3 linked regions of the Astyanax mexicanus genome follow. The protein of the gene in region 3 purifies or fractionates together with the protein of the main gene of each other region. This does not show direct contact. Links are inferred from orthologs where the notes say so. Each region holds a gene or a part of one and is shown on either strand. Other genes may lie near its edges.

Region 1 (7,963 bases), on a different chromosome or scaffold from region 3:
CAATTTACTTTTTATCCAATCAGAACAGTGGGATTTAACAGAAGACTGCAACACTGCTCTCTAGTGGTCAGAGTTTAAACAACAGCAAATGAACCCCTGTCAGACATCAGATGTCTTTTATTGTAAACTAATAGATAAAAGTCATTGAGGTATTGTAAAAGTAATTATCACAATAATCTAATATATCAAATTTCTTACACCCCTAGTAGAGACATTTTCCAGCTGAGAAATATGAAAGAATTTTTAAAGACAATACGTTTTTCTGAGCATGCTGTATACTTACAGGGTGGTCCCGTTTTAGCCGTTTCTCCTCACATCTCTGTTTCTGCTTGAGGATTAGCTCGTTCACTGCGACAAAGAAAATACAGTATAAAATATCTCTGACTCAGAGGTGCGGACCTTAACACTGTTTAATAATATAAAAAGAAAAAAAAAAGTGTGTACGCGCTTCAGAAAACCCTGCACAGATAAAGATAATCCGCATTTACTCTTTAAATCACTCACCTAAGAAGTTGGGGTAGAGTTGATCAACATTGTCTATAATGTAATTACATTTTGGGCACCTGTTGCTGTCCTCCAAACTCTGTCGTATACATTTATAACTAGAAAACAAAAATTAAAACAAGAATCAGCATCACAGGAAGCATTACGGCAGAAAAACGGATACACATGAGATAAAATTAAATGTTTTCTCACCAGAAACTGTGGCCACACTTAGTCATGTGAGCTTCCTCTATCATTTCGAAACATATGGGACTGAAAAACAAAAAATGAAAATCATTTTTAAAAAGGATTATTAAATACTCTGCATGTTTTTGTGCTTTTTAATTCACTTTTACTCCAATGTTCAATTCAATCCATCATACATTTTACTGTTTAGCTACTGGCATAATGTACATGATGTCCATTTCACAGACATGTGATTCGCTTTCTTGTAAGTCTGTTGCACAAACATATTTTTGACTTCTAATTTATCACAGTATTATTATTAATATAGTATTATTATTAAGTGTATTTGGACGTTGGAACTATAAGGTAGAAATATTAAAAATATCCTACATAATCAAAACAAATAAACCAAAACAACTGTTTTCGCTGTGGGAAATCGCAGAATCAGGACCTGAGGTTCTCTCTCTCTCTTTCCATTGGCAGTATATAGCCGCTGCTCCTGACTCCCAGTTGCTGACTGAGTCAGATATCTAGCATGCCAAACATTTGCCGGGTGAGATATAGTATGACTGACTTCTGAAGAAAGCTGGTAAAAGCCTTGTATTTTCTAATATCTCTAAATAAATGGCAGAAAACATAAAAATAACATATTTCAATGTAAGATTTTTCCACCAGTATTGTGCAGCTCCATGCTGTATGACCTAGTGAACTGATATCATTATTATTTTATTATATATTAGTCTAGCAACTAATAAGTTCAGTAATGACTGTCAGTCTGTGGCAGATGCTGTAAAATGTTGTAAAATACATATTTATATCAAAAATGATTTTGAAACCGTATCATCCTTACTGAAACATATTCATCACCACAATATATTAGGATATCGATTAATTACCCAGCTCTACCTGCTACTGTAAATAATGCAGCTGCAGGAACACCAATCTGGTAGCTTCGTTAGCTAAACTAACACATATAAACACATAAAACAACTTAAAACACCTACATGACAAACATACAAAACGACTGTAATTTGTTTTATCGACAAAAACCTTAGAAGAGTCGAGAAAACTCTTATTCTGAGAGCTAAAAGAGCTAACGAAGTAACTGTTAGCGTTTACTAGTTTTACAAGCTAACTAGCTAGCATTAACTTAGTTAGCTAGATTAGCTAACTATATTATTGCATGTTTTAGACAAACAGCAATAATTAACGTTATAAACACCGACACAAAACTAAACACAGCTACAAATAAAGATAAAGAAAGCATAGCGCAGAATTAGTTTAAGTTTGTTTTTGGAGAGAAAAGGGAACAGAGAAAAACGGTTACTAGCCTAACTTACGTTAGCGATAGCATTAGCTAGCTAATATCACAGGAACTGGCAATGCTAACCTAGCTAATCTAGCTAGCGTCAACTTAGTTAGCTAGGTTAGCTAACTTTAGTAATGCGTGTTTTAGACGTTATTAAAAATATATAAATGTAAATAAATGAGTTTAATAAATGCAGATAAATGTTAACGCAGAATTAGGTTAGCTAACTATTTTTGTGTCAAAGAAAGAAAAAAGGGAACAGAGAAAAGCGGTTAACGTTACTGGCATAACGTTAGCAATAGCATTAGCTAAACTAATATAGCTATGATATGCTACGATATTCTATGCTAAGCTAAGCTAACTGTAGGTAGTGGAGCGCTAATAGCGGCCCTTCAGCTTGGTTCTCCCCGTCGGTAAGCTGCAGTTTGTCGGCTCTACTCACCAAACGAAGTCGTTGCTCTTATCCTCATACGGATTAATAAGGCCGTTATACAGCGGCCGCTTCCTGCTGTAGCTCCCGCCGGAGGAGCCAGCTCTGCCGCTCTGGGTCCCCGTAAGCTGCTGCTCAGCTCCGGAGCCCAGTGTCCTGGAGGATCCTCCTCCGCCGCCGCTGCCGCCTCCCGTGTTGCTCCCGTTGGCCGTAACGCTGCTGCTGCTCCCGCTATTTGCGGTGTTCCCGCTCCCGGAGCTCGTACCGGGCACAGAGCCCACGCCGCCGCCCTGGTGCTGCTGCCGTCCGCTCGACATGGTTCCCTGGTGCCGCCTGTATGAACTCCCTCCCCGCAGGCCCGAAGCTTCACTGCATGCTAACCGGCCCAGCAAGCCCGGCGCTGCCGCCGCCGTTACCCCGCACACAGAGCCGCAGCAGCGGGGAAACAGTCGCGCTGTACCCCGCAGACACTCTCTCCGCTCACCGCTCTGCCTGGAGCAGCGCTGGGTTTAATATCAGCCACCAAAACACAGAATATCCTCACCGCGGAGCCTCCTGTTGACAATTCTCAAACGGGGGTTTGAACAGATTTCAGCCCGCTGCAGAAGAACAGCCGCCGCCAGGCAACACTCACACCGCGGCGGGCAGGAGAGCTCCACCGCCACCCTCTGTACCGGAGCGGGCCTGAGTCTGGGGTATTAATTATAGTTCATTATAGCAGGTCTGAGCTTTTTAACACCTCAAAACATGATTTCAGAATTATTTTGACTATTTTATGTATTTATATTGAAATATAACATTGAGATTGTCATATTAAAATAGTTTTAAAAAGACACAAAAGTAAAAAAAAAAAATCAAATATATATTTTTAATTATATACTCATAGCTCTGGAAAAAATACTCACTCACTTGTCACAAAATGAGGAGTTTCTTTGATTTTACCAAATTGAAAACCTCTATAATATAATCAAGAGGAAGATGGATGATCACAAACCATTAAACCAAGCTGAGCGGATTAAATTCTTAAACCACGAGTAAAGCAGCATACAGTTATCCAAAAGCAGTGTGTAAGACTGGTGGAGGAGAACATGATGCCAAGATGCATGAAATTAAACTGTGATTAAAAACTAGGGTTATTTCCCATTTTCTGCAAATAAATGCTCTAAATGAGAATATTTTTATTTGGAATTTGGGAGAAATGTTGTCTGTAGTTTATAGAATAAAACAAAAATGTACATTACTCAAATATAAACCTATAAATAGCAAAATCAGAGAAACGGATTTTGAAACTTAAGTGGTCTCTTATTTATTTTCCAGAGCTGTATATATACATACGTATATAAGCAAATCAGAACAAAAAGTAAAAATATATATATATTTATATTATATATTTATATGCTGTCCTGTATTGTAACAGCAGAGGGCAGAGTGACCTACGGAAAAGCTGAACTTGTTGCTGGTTTACTGCAGTGCGCGCTGGTGGCCAGCAGAGGGGGGTAAAACTGCTTTAATAAAATACTAAAAGTCTACAAATTAAAAGTAAAAGTACTTAATTAATTAAATGAATTAATTGAATAAAGTACTTACAGATATGCAATGCACGTTTTAATGCATCTCGTATCCATAAGAACAGAAGCCGAAGTTTGTTAGGACATATTATTGGCTGTTTTGGTGTGTTTTTGGTTTTAATGTCAAATATTAAAAAAAAAAAATAAACAGAAACTAATTTAAATAATGTGATAGGAAGTCTCTACTAATCTCTACTCCTCAATATCAATAACTATTTAGGTCTAATTAACCCTTAAAGGCACAGTGGTCACAAATGTATTCCTAAAATGTATTTTTTTTTTACCTTTTGTACCTTTTGGGTTGTTAAATGGTACAAATCTGTACTTCCTGCTGTAAGGAATGAAGTACTTATATTGTACCTTTGTGTTTTTTTTAGTGTGCAATTTGTCCAGATCAGCAAATCTGACAGTGTGAAATAAATAAATCCTCTAAAAGGGTTTATTTTAAATTGTATTAATTATTAATTAAAATGTATTAATATTTTTGGTCACTTTTTAAAGGAATCCACCCCTGTTTGTGTATATTGTGTAAAATATTGTGTATTTTCAGCTCGCTTGCTGCAGAATGAGGCGTTTATACCGTAGTTCAGCCCAGTGAAGCTGGAAAAAGTGTTCGTCCCCTTTGGGGAAAATTACTGAGCATCTTACAGAATACATTAGCCTGTCAGGAGACCACCACGGGAGAAGTCCTGGCCCGTATTTTACCCTGCAGCTGTCCTGTCTGCTTCTGAAGAGCCGTTCCTTCCCCTCACGCCCTCCGTCCGTAAACACTCCGGCGTGTGAACAAGTTCATCACCAGTCCAACTCCAACCAACTCCAACCATCACAGAGAGGATCCAGTCATTACTGAACAGAGATGAGTCAAAATAAACAGAAAAAACAAGAAAAAACTAGAGAAGAAGTGATGGAACTATTGTATATCAGCTTCTCTGCAAAAAAACTGATTAATATAGTACTTTAAAATAGCCTTTTTTACTAGATAGTGATGGTATGAATCACAGTGGAACCCTTTTTTGAGTTACAAATCAATCAATCAATCAATTATCCAATCAACCAACTAATTAATCAATCAATTAACCTTTATTGTCACTCGGTAATACATTGAGGGAATAATTTTCGATGCAGCCAAGCATTTACCTTCTAAAGAGACTGGGAAAAAAAATCAATTCAAATTAAAGTCAAGTATTTAATATATAATTATCAGGTTACGCTAAAATAAGGAACAAATAAACAATAAAAAAAACAACAAAAATTAAATGGCAAAAGCATTTAGCTGTGTTTTTGTTTGTCATTTATTTTATCATCATTTATGCTTTATATATTTAAATTATTTTATTGTAAAGCATTTTGTGGCTCTGTTATATAGTTCTGAAAAGTGCTGTATAAATAATTATTATACCACAGTTAGTAGTTCCGACCCTGCAATGTGATTGGCTGAGAGGCGTTCTATGAGTGCCGTTATCAGCCAGTAATGCACTGCTGTAACCGAAGCTCTCCATGTACGTATTACTCCGCCACATACAGGTAACCTACGATGCAACGATGCAGCGCTTACAAACCAAACAGCTCAGCTACAAACAAACAGAGCAGCAATGGAGCTATTTTAACTGGCAGAGTTTTTATTTTATAGCCAAACAGATCGTGCAGATTTTCTCCTCCTCTTTAACTCTTTAAAATATTTAAATAAACAGAGATAATAATGGAACTGTGTTATATTGCTGATCTACGATCGCACCAAAACAGTGCCAATATTACACGTTATAGCACGAACCTTGAGAGTATTTTTGCTTAAATATGACTTGCTTAATTTGCAAAATCTTAGTCTGTGAGTAAAAACTCTGTGTCTAGTATTTAGATGTGAGAGGTTGTCAGACTTTTAATCTGTTTAAAGTCCTTTTAAAGTCTTTTTCAGAGTCTTTTTAAAGTGGTGTAGAGTACGGACAGCGTAAGGCAGGTCTTTAGGGCTGGCGCACTTTCCGAAAAGATCAGCCCTCTCGGGAGGAACTGGAGTAGAGAGCCGTGGATGAGTTGTGTGGAGCAGAAGCCAGCCAGTTCAGTGTCTCAATTATAGATGAGAGCTGCACGTTTTGCCATTTCAAACATTTATATATCTTGTAGGGCTTCTGTTAGGACTCTGCTCAGAGATATAGACCTCTTTTAAAACGGAGCCAAGGTACTCAAAGAGCCTGATGGGTAAAGACAGCGAGAGGTGAGAGAGTGATGAATGGGGGTTTCCAGCTCCAGTAATAATATCAGTGATTCAGTAGCAAACAGGAGAGTTTAAGTGTAAGAAAAGCAGATTAAATCATGTTATTCAGTTCGATCTGAAACATTAAATTACATCATAAAGCTCAGCTCTGTGTGTTTCTATCTATCTGTCTGTTTTCTGCTCTGGATTGAGAGATTGAGTTTTGTATTGGTTTTATAATAAAGCTGCATGTACCAACAACCACCAGTAGAGGGCCTGGAGTCTGCAGTGGAAGAGCTGGTGGATCTGGGCCAAAATAACAAAAACAAAAAAACTACAAGTCCCAGAATCCCCAGCGATATTCAGCGCAAACTAGGATCAGCTGTGAAACACAGTATAAAAAACCCAGTCATAGCTCAGTTCTCTGTCGCACCTTTGTAGAGGGGTGATCAATAACAGTGGGTAACAGAGAAAAAAGAGAAAAGATAAAAAAAAGGATCTCGAAAGAAAGACAAAAACAAGAAAAAAGAAAGAAGCGAGATCTTAAAAGAAAGCAAACGAAAAAAATAGTCAGTAGAACATTTTCTAAATGTTACTATTAATGTTCTTAGTAAGTTCAAGTTCATCTGTTAAGTTTTCTTGATATCCTTATAATGTTATGCAACATTTCTTTTAACATTTTCCCAACGTCGCTACAATATCACTTTTCAATTTATACTGTATAGTGTATGTTTTAAAAATGTTAACTTTAACAACACAAATGACGTTGCAGCAATGCTACCAGAATGTTTAAGAATGGTACATAAAACATTCTAAGAACGTCCAGAAATGTTCTAAGACTGTTACTCTATGAACTGTAACTTTGTGTAAAAGTTGAACATTCTAGGAATGTTAATTTGTAACATTTAGAAAATGTTCAATAAAACATTCTAAGAACATCGAGTAAAATTAAAAGATTGAATGTTCTAAGTCTCTGTTAACGTTGAATGTAACGTTTTGAAAACGTTTGACATAAAGATGGTTTGCACAATGTTATTAGAACGTCTCTCACATAGACGAATACAACCAAACTAAAAATGTAAACATTTATTAAGAATGTTTAAAAACATTGAATAAAATGTTCTGAGAACATTCAGAAAACACATTGACAGATTATTCTAAGAATGTTAATTGTAATGTTTCTACTAAAACCTTCTACTAACAAAACTACTAACTTTTTGAGGAAGCTGGGATTCAGCTTTGAGTTCTGTACGGATGGATGCTTTGATTTCTAAGTAGAGATGATTAGAGATGTATAAAAATGAACAGATTTATACTGTATATATATATATATATATAGAAACACACACTTCCCACATGACTCTCCGTCTCCAGGGTTCTGATTTCACACATCTGCTTCTGAAAGGATTTAGGACTTTCTGCTTCTTTTCTGCACTTTTCTACAGGTCCAGGACTTCAGGTTGGATTTTGTTCTTTTCCGCTGAATTCTCTGGTCACTTTTTTAAATTGGATTGGGGCTGGTCGGCCTCAGAGACGAAGGATAATCTCTTAGAGGTCCTTTACAGTGGGGGGTGAGGCCTAGGAGCTACCATTCACTTTTTTCTACCAAGTTGCAGCTGGATCTGAAAGCACTTTCATACAAAAAAAGCTGAATGTTGTGCGGGCGGATCCTTCAGGTCCTCGGGTTGGTTGCGGAATTCTTGCCTCCCACTGTTCAGAGCTCTTTCTCCCCTGATGAGGCCCCTGCCATAACCGCTCCGAGCCCGATTGCAAATTGACCCTGACAAAACCGGCTGGGG
Region 2 (7,751 bases), on a different chromosome or scaffold from region 3:
AGGAGTTCATTTGGCTGCAGCCGTACATAAATTCTCACTTTCGACAGGGATTCTTTTTCTCCTCCAGCTCCAGACTGCCGACAATGTGACAGACATGATGACAGACATGATCACATGGTCATTACCCTTTGAGATATTAACAGATTTTTGCGTGACAGCTTTGCCCAGTGACACCATGCCCATGCTTTATCTAGCAAGATTTCAGCCACTATTGTTGTCCGCTCCTAAATGAAACCATGTGTTTACATCAAGCACAAAAAGAAATGAAGGGGAATTATAGAAGGCAGGCTGCATGTTGCACAAGCATTCAAAACCAGGATATATAAATCAGAGTCCAATCTGAGGACACTTCATGTGAAGAGTTAACCAACCACTGTATGATGTTTACCTCCGTTAAAAGAATGACATGCAGAAAAACAAACTTGTACAAATAATTAACAAGTAGTGCGGCCACTTCTGAAGCCTGCTGCTCCAACTGTTGATTTTTTTTTGTGTCAGACTACTATAGATATAAAATCTGTCCCTCTCTTGTGGGGATACAAATCCATTACATGTTTGCCATTTTAGCCTTATAGCCTCAGTGCAAATGTATTCAAGCAATGTTTGCAGTAAGAGACAGTATTGTAAGAATGAAATAAACAGTATAAATACAAAAACAAAAAAGGTACAACAATTGTCTTCTCAAGACTTCAGACAATGGATGGTATGGTTGCTTATTTAGTCTGTAGAGGGTGAAAGGCTGTGCAGATTGCATAACAATCAGGTACAACTAACTAGCTTTATTAAAGACATTTCACGGTCATTTCTATTATGCTTGTATGCTTGCATGAGTGTTTAATCGTGTGCTACACTGTGTAGCAAGTTGGCTGTTGTGGTGTTATGATGTAATTCATCTGAGTGTAATGCGCTTTGGCTCATTAATGGCCGTGTCACTACCGAGGCAGCTAAATTTAGAGTCAGGCACACGTTTTCACAGCGTGTGGCAATCAATGCTAGTTAACACTTGCATGTAAAGCAGTTTTCTTACCAAACACTAACAGAGTTAGTTAAATTCCAACTAGGCCAACAGGGACAAGTGTAGCTAGACTAGTTAACCAGCTAACTAACTATCTGGCTAACGTTTAAAGCTACCGGTCTTCTGCAGGCAAGCGTCAGCTTGCAGGTCGCTGGTCATTATGTTGTCAGGTTAAAGTTAACCACAAGTTTAGCTAACGCTAACTCAGTTTCCACTAGTAGCATGTTTAAGATATCAGCTCCCTCCACAGCAATTATATTTACTCGCAAAAAAAACAGATCTATTAACTTAACTTACATATAACGTTAATGTTGTTTTGACTGGTCCTATGTTGCTATTGATTTATAAAGAAATTCAGACCCTCTAATCCGTAGATAATTAAGCTACATTTCAAAAGTACAAAACATTAATAACAGTTTTTCACAACAAAAAATGTAGTTGCAAATATTTAGACAAGGAACTAACCTAGCTAGCTAGCTAGATTTTACAGTAAGGATATGGTGACCAGGTAGCTTAGATTGTTTAGTCAGAATGACTTTAAACGATCTGTAGTTGGATCTGGTATTATTCCTAGCAAAAAAATGTCGCTCACCCTACAGCGATACATACTTTTAAAACTGCATTAGAGACCCGCACGTTATTGCAATATTTAGCTAACGTAACTGGTTAAACTGAGACAGGACTTGGTTTGCTCGCATCATTAAGGATCAAATGATGCTAACGCTAGCTTGCTGCTACAGTGTTAAGTGTTAACGGTAAATAGCTAGCTAGAGTTGTAGATAGGTTAGCTTAGCTAGCTAACACATCAGTCACAGGAGGAATGAGATCTCTGCTCCGCGCTGGGTGTTTGTATACAGATCATAGTATAGCTAACTTACAATCCAGCTTGAATAAACAGGCCAGTGTTTACTAGTTAGCTAACGTTAGCTCTGCAGCTAACGTTAGGTTAGTTTAACACTGGACGTAAAATGTCAGTTTTACGTTAGTGAAGTAGCTTAGCTAGCGTTTACTGCCGCTCCGCCTCTAGAACAAACTAGACCGGTGTTGTGTCGAATTGTGCTACCTTCTTCAACTGTGCTACCCTGGTAGTATTTAATTTATATAAAACGGTAAAAGTACCAAGAAAAAGCACCTTATTGGAAAATACTAGGTAGGATATGTGAATAGGCTAAATCACTGTCAAGTACCTTAAAGTAAAAAAATAAAAAAAATAAAATAAAATCACATACTTGATTAGAAACCGTATTTTTTATAGTTATAGTTTTTTGTAGTTAATTATTATTTTTAACTGCTTTACATTGTTTTAACATCTGAGCAGGTTGTTTAATGCTCTCAATAAAAACTCACGGAATGATCATGAAAAACAAACAGTACAAAAAAAGGTTGGTTAGCGCATGAGCAGTGCTGTAAAGAAGTACATATGAATGAGTAGCATAACTCGACAGAACACCGGGTTGTTTTGAGCACTGAGCTACTAGGCTAGCTAAGGTAGCTAGAATAACTAAGGGGTTAGCTGCCTCGTTTGCAGCCGACACTTTATTCTGTCTTTTTTTCCAGCTGAACTTGTAAGGGTCGAGCTCCTCTCGGTTTTCAACATTATAACTTACTACAATAATTAAGTTTTTCCTGCAGAGTGAAACATGCGGCAAAAGCTATGAAGGCAGTAAGCCGGTTTCTGCAGCTCCAGTTCAGCTGGGTTATGGCTTGGTTTGGTTTGCTCAGCTCGCCGCCTCTCGACGGACTGACGGGCCATTTAACAACTCACTCACTCACCTCGAGATCAAATCGCCGGGGGGGAGGGATCCTCTGCCGTCTACTAAACCGCAGCCGCCATCTCAGCTCAGGACTCAGGAGAGGCGCAGGAACAGTCGGCTCGCTGCCGCGCAGCGCTGTGTGGGAGAAAGGACGGTTTTATTCCGCTGTTAGAGAAGCGAAGCGTCGCCGCGCTGAAAAGCCTCGTCCCGTCGGACTGATCACATCTTTCCATAGCAGCACCACCTGACAACGGAAATGACGCACGAACAGTAAGGGGCAGCCCGACTAACCCAATCAGAGGCGAGTACCCTCCTCTCCCGACCGGCTCAGCCAATAAGTCTAACTCGTTTTCGGGCCTTTTGTCTTTAACTGGAAATAAGACAACAGAATAATGAATACACTGAGTGATTTATGATTTGATTATTGCTCAGTTTTTCTTTACCAATATCGATGATTTATTAATATATGTATACAGCACTGAGCCATATCATAGGTGTCTTCTGAAAAAGGGAATACAAGTTAGAATGAGTTTAAGAAGTTAATATTATTTAATCACTAAGTGATGTCTATATGTATGTCCATATGTGGACACTTCTTCTAATAAATGATGCATCCAGCTACTGTAAGCAAAGTTTTACCCTTTGCTGACACAGATGGGCAAATACACACACACACACACATGCACACAGCTTGTCCAGCCCTTGTAGAGAAGATGTTTACTGCTAAACATGTAAAGATGGACATGAACCTATTGGCACCATGTATAATGGTATGGGCTAGCTGTGGAGCTGTGGTGTGTTATCTGGAATGGTGGTGCTCCATCAGTTAAAGATAAGTTGAGGTGGTGACCTTCTAACATCCTGACAGTAACATGCTTGTTGCTGAATGTAATCAAATCATTATAGCAAATAATCATCAAATACAAAAGCAAGTAGAAAGTCTTTCCTGGACTGCAGACAACAGAATAATACCCTTTTAATACTATTGAATTTAAAAGAAACAATGAATAGACATTTGTCCCAATAAGTCTGTCCATATAGTTTAATTTAAACTTCTCAAATGTCTGTACTAGTGCATTGTACACCATAAATCAATAAATAATTCTTACATTGTTTTGCTGCCTTCATCTGGAATAATGTGTTTTTATAAATGCAATGATACAAAATTATGACAGGTACCACACATGCAAAAAAATCAGGTTACACAAGCATTAGAGAAAGCTATTCAGTGCTTTCTCTAATTAATCAAATATTGCTACTACTACATTTATTCTATGTGCAAGACCCTTCAGATAGTTCAACAGTTCCTCAACTGAACCCCACCCATGCTGCTTGTTCTAATTCAGAGCACTGGACTAGTAAGCAGTAGCTTGTCAAATACATGTCGTTCTTTTAAAGGGTCATAACTCTTTTTGATTGCTTTGACTCAGCACAGCATTTGCTTTTAGCCACATGAAACATTTTTATCAGCCTGTGGCTTAGGTTTGGCCAACCCACAGTTTTCAGGGTGGAAACTGACTGAATCATACTGTGAGAGTGGGCGACCCATGGGTAATGTAAGGAGAGACAGAAAAGTATAAAAAGAATGCATAACAGGAAAAGGGTACAGTGTTGCATACATCCTTTACATACATTTACTTCATTATTTGACCCTTTCAGACAAAAACATATTTCAATCATTTCCCACAAACTATTTAAGTTAAGTGCATTTATGCATGAAGAAATATGTATATATAAAGCACAACAGAGCACTAAAAGAGCTCATGGTGACATGCATATGTCACAGACCTTTACAAAAAGCTGTGAAAGTTCATTACAGCAGTCTGTCCTTGATTTTATAAACTTATGAAGACCTAAGTGACATATACTGAACATCCTGTGTGCATTAGGACAGTGTGTCACTGTGCTTATCTGACCTTATTTACAGAATGTAGGTGTGCTAGGTTAGTGCTGGAGATTAGATTTCACGTAATATTTTTTGCTTCTTTAGGTCTGTTCCAACCCATTTTACAATACAAATGTTTTAAATGTTTTACATGCAAACTAGTTGTGACACAAACTCTAGAACAGAATGTCAAACAAATACACGTTATGAAATTGTATAATTTCTGTTACATTAGTGTTTAAAGATTAAAATATTTAGAGTCATGTTCTCTCTTTATACAAAAAGAAAACACATGAGTGAGCTTCTCAGTTAATTTACCAATGATCCAATTTTGAACTGGATAAGGACCCTAATGGGTTAAGAAAAAAAAAACTGATTTCTCCCAAAGGGAGTTTTTATGTGAAAAATGATTAAAAAAGTCATTTTAATTAAATAATAAATTGTATCAGAATTCAAATGATCAGTGTTTAAAATGATGCAGCACAGAAACAGTGCTGTACAGCAGTGTAAAGAGAAGCACTGTGGGCTGAGGTAAGTGTGTCTAGTCCTACCACCTATTGCCTCAGCATGTTTTGACAGCTCTTTTTTCACATGGCTATTATGAGAGTGCGTGACTGGAAGCCGTGATGTGGGGGTCTAAAACGTGCCTGGACTGTTCTCATTTTTCTCTGACGCCACAGCATAGTTACTGTCACCATGGTGATTCGAATTGTTACTCTGTCCTCCATTGAAAGTGTTCGCAGATAAACTGAAAGGCAATACTGGACAACTGAGGCTAACAGAAACAAAGAAATGCAGAAGGCAGCATCATCACTTCATTGCACATGTCATGGCGAGGACTCATCAATAATGCTGTTACACAGACCCACAAAAAACACACACAAACATACTGTTTATTCACGTGTGTGCATACAGAGTCCTGTGAGTAAATGAGAGACAGTGGGCAGTAGCACATGATGAATAGCCTGAGTGGTCAGTTTTAACTGCAACTGAAGGATTCTAAACTGTCTGCAACACCATATACTCCATTATAAGGTGACAGAATGATCATAAAGGAATGCATTAGGTAGTCGTATAGTTTTTGGATCATCTTGCCAGTTGGGTCAAAATTGATTAGAAGAGTTGCAAACCTTTTAATGTAAACCCTTGTTAATGTCACGTTTACACTCTACGTTCAATTAAAGATGCTGCATAAAATATTAATCCAGTAAACCTTAATTGTAAAATTAAGCAAATGTTACCATGCAGATAGCTAGCTCCCCAGTCTGTTAACTCGCTGGAAAAGAACTGTGTTCATACACAACTCTAGGATACAAACATAATGGCTCAGACTGAGCTACACAACACTAATCAGATGAAGATATATATAGAGACCTCAATGTGTAGAAAGGCATGACAAGGAATGCGGAACTTGCTCTATTCTCTCTTGATACTTACTTATGTTTGCTATTCCAAAGAAATAGTTTTGTTTTGTTCAGTTTGCAAATGTTGGTGATAAATTATAACAACTAACAGCAGCAACTGTAACAACAGCTAACTAATCCACAACATGCAAGAATTTAAAAATGTAGAGCTTCTGAAGGAGCACTGAGAGGGTGTGTTTGTCATGCTAATGAGTTTAAATATCAACAAGTTGTTCTCCAGAATCATAAACAGCACATTTAAAATAAAATACACTGAAATAGGCAGGGAAGTGTGCCTCCATGACAAGGATTGTGAAACACTGCATTGCATAACCTTATCTTTATAAAGCATATTAAGAATATAATGCTCAATTTGATGTTCCATCAAAAAGTCTTAATAACCTGTCATATTATACTCTAGTTCAGAACAGACGATGCAATCTGCTTCTGCAACAGTGCACACGAATCATTGGCTAACCACTCAGGCTAGTCATCATGTCCTACTGCCCACTGTCTCTCATTCACCCACGCTGCTCAGACAGTTGGTCTTTTGATGGCTTTTCTAATAAGCAATTCTAAAAAACCCTTTATTCATCTGTAAAGTCGTGGGAGAGGTATCCTTCTCCTACACATAAATGAATGAATTGCACTTACATTCATTCCCTTGTGGGAAAGCATGCTCACTTGCCACTCATTTTTTGCACATGGCACATTATTGTTTATATTTTAAAATGTTAAATTCATTAAGAGTAATTATTTTTTTTAGAATAAGGAGATGTATCTTTGTAGATAGAACATACTTACACTCAGAAAATAAAATATTTTAACCAACAATGCCATTGGGTTAAACAAAATCAGTGGTATTAAAAGATTGCTTTAAGGATTTTATATCATTATATGATCATCACCTCACCTCACCCCCAACTCCACAACTAATCCCTAAAGTACTGGATGAAGCACCATAATTGCAGAGAACACAGTTTAACAGCTCCACAGTGCTGGGGGCTTCATTCACCTCCAGACCACACCTGGCCTTTGTTGCACACAGGGCTCATACTTTATTGGCCATACTTTTCTGCAGGGATTTGCCAAACTGTGCACATCATTAACAGCTGCAATGGATAATGCATTTAGTAGAACGATTATCCACAATCAATCAATATATATATATGGTTATATCTATATATGATCATATCATGTGATTATATTAATTATATTTATATATTTCTTTCTCCGATTTTTGCAGATCCCCTAGCGGCCCCTGGTGTTTGTTTACTAAACTGCAGGCAAAACCCACCTTAGGAATAGGTTGGATAAAACTTTAATTTGGGAGCGAGTTAAACTATTTAAAATACTTAACTTTTTATAAACGCCCAGCTCACAAAAATCTTTAGGACTAGTTAACTAAGTAAATTACGTTACCAAGCTTTTGGGAACTCTGACCTGTTGATATTGTAGTTTCTCCAGCCTGGTTACCTGGTGTATTGCAGCTTAGCAAATGCTATTCAAATTTACAGAGGCGCACAGAGATGTTCTGATAGTATGCTGTTTATATGCTCAATTTAACAGTCTGGGAAAATAAAACATAAAATGTGGCTTTCATGATGCTTTAGGCAGTTTTTGACAAATATGCTCTTACCTATTGTAGGAAAATGCCATGTTTATGTTTGCTTCCAGTGTTACGAGTTTTGCTA
Region 3 (7,690 bases):
GAGGTATTCTTACTTACTGATGATCTGTTCAAAATTGTATTTGTAATTAGTTTTTCAAGCGATTTTCATAGTCAAGCTAACCAAAGTTAATACAAAGTCTCTTAATATGAAGTCTTCATGCTGATATGGTCAAAACAGTTTGCCATTCTTTTAGTTAAATGTTTAAGTCTCACCATCAGTCTAATCAAGACCTTATTACTTATTAATATAACTTTGGATGAATCTGATTAAATACAATGTTTGCTTTATCCTTTTAAATGACATAATATGCCAGAATATGTAAGAATAAAATGGAAGTGAGCTGTTCTGTTTGGCTTAAAATGTCCTGCCCAACACATGTCTTGCAATAGTTGAGTCTCAAATCTTAAAATGTAAGTTTTCAATTAAGACCCAATCAGGACAAACTTACTGTACAACTTTAGTGACTATAGGTATACGTGCTATAATAATCAATCACATGTTAGCACCCGTGTTGAAAGTAAATCATGACCGTATACAGAGACATACATTTAATATATTTATTTCTAGGTTTGCAAACCCTGTTCAGGTTGCATTTTCACATTTCGGTACAAAAATACAAATCCATAAATACAACGTTTTCACAGAAAACTTCAGACCATTTCATTTATAATGGTTAAATAAACCAAGCACAACAGTTTAGTGAAGAACAGTTCACACAATGTGGAAAACAAAGTCAGTTCTGTATTGCTCAGACCACATTACAGTTATCTAGCACCAGTAAAATTAAAAACCTATTTTCTACATTGTATTATCTGCATAATGTAACATAACTAGTTAATACACACCAAAGTATTCAACCATGCTTAAACTTGCTACATATGCAAGAGGCAAGAAATGCTTCAAATAAATAAATACATAAAGAAACATTTGCTTAGTGGAGTCAGTTGTGTAGCCCTGAACAGTTAAAGAGTCTGTAAGTGTTTTTAATGAGGTCTGTTTTTGGACAGGGGTGTAAATGAAAGTACAGAAGGCTGCGATTCAACTACAATATGAGAGAGTGTATATATTGAGGGTTTGTTGTCGTTCTTTTAGTCAGGATGAACTAAAACCAAATCTAAAGTTGGATGCCTGAATCGCGATCATATTGTTGATATCAATTTACACCCCTGCTGTTTATGAGTTCATAAAGTAAGAAGGGTTGGAGAGTTGAGGGAATCGGACGACTGATCATTGCCACTGCTGGCCCGGCGGGTCAGCTGGCCACAGACGGGGAAGACCTCGCTCTCTGGATACGAGAAGACGAAGGAAGACGTGTAGGTGGTGCAGGCGGGTGTGCAGGTGACCACTGGCGTGCACAGAGGCTCCAGGTCCAGGTTGGCCGACGTGTACAAGGGTTCCCAGTCTTGAGCGTACAGGGAGCTTGACAGGTCAACATCAGGCACAGAGCGCACCGTATCCAGCTCAGACTTGGCCAGAAACTCCAAGGACGCCTCCAGGGATGGGTCAAGGTCAGAGATCTTCACTGTGGAGGTCATGAGGTCAGTGGAAGGGTTAGAGAACACTGAAGAGGAAGCTGAGGACATCGTCTCGGTCAGCCTGGAAGTAACAGAGGAAGCGGTGACGGGAGGGATCTCAGAGACAGGCTGAGCTGGGGAGATGGAAGGCTCGGGAAAGGCCGTGTCCATCTCAGTTGGGATCTTACAGATGGGCCTGTGAGCGGCCAGGATGAACTCGAGCCGCTCCTTTTCCTTCAACAGGTTGGCGATATCATTCTGCAGAGTAGACTTCTCGTCCTCAAGCTGGTCAGTTTCCTGGTAAAACAAGACAGCAAGCAGAATGTTAATTTAACTGCCATTGTTGTTTGGCTTCCTGTAGATAATAGAGTTATATTGTCAAAATAATAAAGTTCAGACCAGAGGAGACAGGAATACTTACAGCTTGGAGGGTGTCAGTGAGTTCACGTCTTCTGTTGCGGCATTTGGCTGCAGCCATCTTGTTCCGCTCACGGCGAAGACGCCTTTTTTCTTCTTCTTCTGGAGCAAGCTGAATAAAAAAAGGGAGGAAATTGATTAGTTTCCAATTCAACAGATTAGGGATAAGAACAAAATGAGGACAATAGGAATTTTAGGGGAAGTACAACTTTAATTGATTATTAAAGTCATTGAGATGTAAAAGATGTTAAGATTTGGCACAAAATGCACAGATTTCAAGTGTTTGTGTTTATATGATGGCTATATAGGGATTGTATATATGGCAAACAATACTACCATGAAGACCAAACACACCTCTTTTACACCACAATAACTTTTGATGCAGTAAAGAAATTTTCACGTAGTTCCCCCTTGTATATTAAGACCGTGTTATAACCAAAAGACACACACCTGCTCAATTCTGCCCCTCCTGCTGGAGCTCTGAGCACCATTTCCAACCGATTTGATCATCTTGGCTCTGGAGAAGGAGGTGTTGGTGCTGTTTGGGCTGTAAGGGTGAGCTCTGCCGGTGGAGGGTGCCACTGAGGACACCACTGACTGGACCATCCACTGTAGGTCAGGGCAGGAGGAGATGGCCGTGACCGTGGGCACGAAGGGAGATGGTGAGTCGGCCAGGTCAGTGAAATCCTGAAACACCAAGAGAGAAACTAATTTAATACTCTTCTTAATCAGGAAAAAAAAAACTAAAAAAGCAGTAAAAAAACACAAAGTTCTTACATTTTCTTATAAATGTATTATAAATCTCTGACGTATAAATATAAAAACAGATAAAATCCCATCATGCCTAGAGTTGGAGGTGGTAGCTCTACTACATACCTGGCTGTGTGAGCTGTAAACTCCAGCCGGAGACCCGTAGCTCCCCGCGCTGGGAGAGGCGCTGCTGCAGCGGGACGAGTCGTGCTCAAGAGTGGTAAACATCATCCTTTTATACCGCTGACCCACTCGGAACGCGTCCAAAAGATCCAAAAGTCGCGATATGAAGAGTTCCTGAGGGGAATAGACTGAGTTCTAGCGGCTTAAATCTCCACTCAGTTCGCTGTTCTTCCGATATAGTCCAAAGTTTGAGTGCTGAGACTGGAGAGCAGTTCCCTTTTTATACTGTGCTCGCGCGTGACGCACGTCGGAGGGGCGGCGCTATCTCGGAACATTCGAGCGCACAGATGCACTCAAACACGGGAAAAGCAAACCGCGCAAAAATAAAAAACGATGTTTTTTATAGCCTTCGCGTCCGTACAGTCCCAATACCGCCGCGCGCTTTGTGTAATAGTGAAATAACCCCGTGTTTTTTCACTGTTTTTAACGGTTGCTGTGAACGTGTGACGTTCCATAGCAGGGTATCCCAAGACGTCATTGTCCTTATAAGGGAAGCATCCTGTGAGGGCGGAGCGCTGCTGGGAAACACTCTGTGCGGACAGAGCGCGATGTTACGTAAACAGAGCGGGGTGAAGTTTCTTGGTGAACGTTGAGAGCGCAGTGTTTGCGAGGACAAAAGGGGATCTCACTGCTGTGCATTATTTAGAGCGTATGGCTAGAATTTTATAAATTATATAATATAAAGAATTACAACATTGCAGTAAAAATATATATTTATTTTATTTTGTTTATTTGAAAATATGTGTTTTGTTTAATTGAAACCTGAGTTTGAAAAACAAATGTAGCATTTTATTTAACCCTTTCAAACCCTGCATCCATTACAATGAACATAATTTATTTTCTTTATTTTTAAATGTTTTGTTGCACAATATTTGAGAGCTGTTGTTCGTCAAAACAGACCACGAACCATGAATGGCCAATGAACGTGTCTATAAACCAATGAAAAGGTAGCTTGGTCTTATCCACTGTAAAAGCAGTAGTACTAGAGCCATTAAGGCAAAGAAACAACTATTTTTTAAATCATGTTTTTTACTGTTTAGAGATGGTTTATGAAATACAAAGGAAATAAAAAAGAAAATATAAAATATTTCACACAGGCTTCCAATGCAATATAAATAAAAATCTATATTTTTGTTAATTGGATTTATTTGCCATATAGATTTTATAGCACACTGTTAGAGTCTTTTTTTCTGTGCATTACAGACAGAAAAGAGCATTCTTACATTTTTTTCATCACTGGAGATACTTAAGGTCTGAAAATGTTAATGGATAATTCTTCTCCAGAACTTTTTAATTATTTGAATTTGTGTGTGTGTGTGTGTGTGAGAGAGAGAGAGAGAGAGAGAGAGAGAGAGAGAGAGAGAGAGAGAGAGACAGACAGACAGAGGGAGTAAGAGAGAGAAAGGATTCCTCTCATGTTTCTGACAGATGTAGGTGATAGGTGATTGGTAGGGGTGGGGTTTGTACCTGTGAGGAATGTGCTGGTGTGTCCAAGGTCACCTGCGTGCATGTCCTGCACGCTCAACTGACTGACGTTATAAAACTAGGTCAAAGAAAACTAAAACACAGACAAACACGCAAATAAACAAACTAAAAAATAAACAATATCCATATTCGATTGAATGATGCAATATTAAAAGCAGAGGAAGTTAAAGCCCTTTTCTTTATATTTTAACTTTTTCCCCCGCATAAATGTGAAAACTATTGGCTGTGTCTGGTAACATGTGTACAGTTGTTTTCCATTTTCTGTGATTGATCTGTGGGTGAAGAAAAGTGAACTGAAGCGGATTTTTGTTATTTATTAACAGCGCTGCTTGGATCGTGTTGTGTTTACTGTTCATCGTTGCCCGGCAACAACCCTCCCATTCGAGAGGCCTGGGCGACGCCCCTCCTATTCCGCGTTGTCGAGGCAACGCCCCTCCCATTGGCGTCAGTGACGCGGTAGAGCTGGAACTGGAACAAACTGGCGAAGCAAAACTTTACACTTCACTTGTTTTGGTTTGTTTTATTCTATTTCTGGACCTCTGTGTCCATGAAAAACCTACAAGCTCCAGAGACACAGCTCTGGACTTTTTAAACTCTTAGTCTGGGACTGTTTTTCACTCACCGCTCTAAAATGGTGATTACATGGAAGAGAAGCAGTTTTAATCTGAAGTGACTGAAGAGTGATTGGGACCGTTTTTTTCTTGCCATTAATGGAACAATATAGCTAAACAAAAATGTAATTTTTAATAATTCATGCAATAAAATAAACGCAAGTTAAGTAATTTTATTGCCAATACTGCATAAGTACAGGACATACCGAGGACCCAAATTACTTTCCTTCCCAAAGTTACAGCAATAACAAGAAAAAAATAAAATATAAATATAATAGAATACATTGTTTAAATGTACAAAACAACAAGGTCACAGATATAGACATACGTGAGACAAGAGATAATAGACAAAGACAATAGATAAATAGTGATTAAAGTGGGGATTAAGAGGGAATGACAATGCCGTTGTAAACAGAATCTGTATAAACAGTAGTGCAATATAGTGATAGAAATGCTTAAGGCTGGTAAAGTGAACGAGTGCATACAGTTATTTAAATGTCACAGTTGGATATGACAGTGCACGTATAAGCAGTAGTGCAGATATTGGGTGTGTGAGTGCATATCAGTTCTTTAATTCACCCTTCATAGGATATTGCTGCTAATTACATCAATAAAATCCAAATCTATATATTTTTGCTTTATTGGTACTTTTCTTATAATAATTATGTTTTTTTGTCCGGGGACTGGTTGGGGTTCCTTTTAGAACAGAAGTGCTTAAAAGTTATTTTGAGAGCAAACGTGTGCATAGAGGCAGATTAACTTTGCATTAATAGAGGTCTAGCAAAAACCTGACCCATTTCCCGGTAGCAAGACCGGACAGGCTGACCGACACAGGCGCTGTCCTGCACTAAGGCTGAAGTCTGACCGGCTGCCGGAAAGCTGGCCTGCAGGGGCGTGGGCCTGCCGGGAAACAGCACACACTCTCTCTTTCACTCTCTCGCTCTCCCTCTCTCACACACACATTCCAGAGGGAGGCCGGGGTTACCTCATCTCATTTTGTCTAAATATAGAGCCCCTCTCACCAGACGACCCCCCAACGTGGGAAACAAGAGTGAGGGGAGAGAGTGGGCGCTGCAAAGGATCAAAAAATAGCCTAGCACTGCGTAGAAATGTTTTATTACATCAGAAATTCGTATTATGAGCGTAGATAGTAGAAGGTATTATGCAACAAAAAGTAAATTTAATAAATTTGGATATTTGGTGTTGATTTCGTCACTTCAATGCCATTTAATTAAGTCCCATATGAGACAAAAATAGGCACTGCTGCTGTTGCAGCAGCGGCGCTCCGGAAACTCCATTTATGGATATGGGCGCTCTGATTGGCTTCCCGACGCTCAGGGACGAGATGGACGTCGCGTTCTGATTGGTTGCTTTCATCGCTGGAGAGAAATCCGCGTCCTCTGATTGGTCGCTGCCCTCGTTGGCGACAAAATACGTCTCGATGCTGCAGCGGCCCTTTGTGTGTGGGATCGTTCGTCATTCAGCGAATTAGAAAATGTGTAGATAAAAATACAGAAATGCTGCAGAAATAGAAGCGCGTCCACGGCTGAGGTGAATTTGAGGAGACAGTGAACCATATATCGTGTGTATTTATTCGGTTCTGTTTTAGTGACGGTTGTTCGCTCGCCGTGAATTAGACAGGCAGCTGTAAAACACTGTTAAACACACTGCAGCTCGAGCCTCTGCGAGATGGCAAAGGTGTGAACGCCGTGAGGTGTTCTGTCGAGATGTGATACCTACCTATCGATATGCGCTGATTGCCAACACTGCGCGTGCGCTATTCCTCAGCTCCTCGGTTCCTTTTAAATACGTTTTCATTTGTTTTTCATTATAATTCTCTTAATTTTCTCTGGTGCATTATAACAACTGAGCGTGAGTGTTATTATTTACCTGAGTGTTAAAATTGTGCAAATGGCAATTCAAAACAAAAAAGTATTGTTCTCTCAGATATTATTTTCACCCTAATAACGCTACAGTAATTTATGCTATTGAAATACCTTCTCTAGACTTTTGCCTGGAGCATGTTTTAATATAGCCAACATGGCTTTTAGGCAGTCGAAATAGCATGCATTCTGTTTTATTCATTTAGACAGCTTTACCAATATGTACTGCTAGCACGATTTGACAAGACATCACAGCACAACCCAGCTGGCACTTTAACATTGAATCAACGTTGGATTTGGTGTTGATTTTGAAAAGTGAATCAACTTTGATAAGGTAACGTTGTTTCAAAATTGTACGTTTAACCTTAAATAAACCATAGCCCACTAAAACTAGAACATAACACAACAGTAAAACAAATACAACATGCACATACCCCCAGTTATGGTGTAAAACGGTGCAAAATAAAATAAAAAACAATTACTGCAAAAGGAATAAAAACACTTTTTCATCCCTCCATCCAACCGTTTTTTGAAATGTAAAAAGCTAATTCAAAAGGCAGAAGGTTGAGGACATTATGTTGATTTTGTTGAAATGTTATTGTTGCACAACCATTTAACATTAATTGTTGTTTCAACGTTGAAACAACAACAGACATTACTTCAACGTTAAATATTTCAACGTTGAAGGTCGGTTGTGTGCAAGCTGGGAACACGTATAGGTTTCTTGCACAGACTCTTTGTCAGCCTATAAGTTCTGAAAACGCAGCTGTTAGACGTTGTTTTTCACAGTGGTTACCCGCACTGAGCAATGCAATAAAGGTACAAACAGCAGCACGCGCACAATGACGACCTAGCTTTGGTTTTAGCCACCGACGTGCGCTGAACA

What was found.
Region 1: the proteins of fosab (region 3) and cop1 purify together in Homo sapiens (affinity purification with mass spectrometry; 4 studies listed by BioGRID and IntAct, counting the BioPlex papers as one, with this or other methods). This does not show direct contact. The link is inferred for Astyanax mexicanus from reciprocal best matches to the Homo sapiens genes FOS and COP1.
Region 2: the proteins of fosab (region 3) and stk40 purify together in Homo sapiens (affinity purification with mass spectrometry; 3 studies listed by BioGRID and IntAct, counting the BioPlex papers as one, with this or other methods). This does not show direct contact. The link is inferred for Astyanax mexicanus from reciprocal best matches to the Homo sapiens genes FOS and STK40.

What each region holds. Positions count from the first base shown.
Region 1 is NC_064415.1:58,593,161-58,601,123, forward strand, and holds the start of cop1 (E3 ubiquitin-protein ligase COP1), read right to left. Parts: upstream 3,067-7,963; 5' UTR 2,726-3,066; coding exon 2,421-2,725; intron 757-2,420; coding exon 697-756; intron 603-696; coding exon 505-602; intron 349-504; coding exon 284-348; intron 1-283. UniProt on the Homo sapiens protein: E3 ubiquitin-protein ligase that mediates ubiquitination and subsequent proteasomal degradation of target proteins.
Region 2 is NC_064413.1:33,630,272-33,638,022, forward strand, and holds the start of stk40 (serine/threonine-protein kinase 40), read right to left. Parts: upstream 3,018-7,751; 5' UTR 2,789-3,017; intron 1-2,788. UniProt on the Homo sapiens protein: May be a negative regulator of NF-kappa-B and p53-mediated gene transcription.
Region 3 is NC_064408.1:39,843,727-39,851,416, reverse strand, and holds fosab (v-fos FBJ murine osteosarcoma viral oncogene homolog Ab), read right to left. Parts: upstream 3,042-7,690; 5' UTR 2,874-3,041; coding exon 2,769-2,873; intron 2,580-2,768; coding exon 2,343-2,579; intron 2,005-2,342; coding exon 1,897-2,004; intron 1,773-1,896; coding exon 1,143-1,772; 3' UTR 505-1,142; downstream 1-504. UniProt on the Homo sapiens protein: Nuclear phosphoprotein which forms a tight but non-covalently linked complex with the JUN/AP-1 transcription factor. In the heterodimer, FOS and JUN/AP-1 basic regions each seems to interact with symmetrical DNA half sites.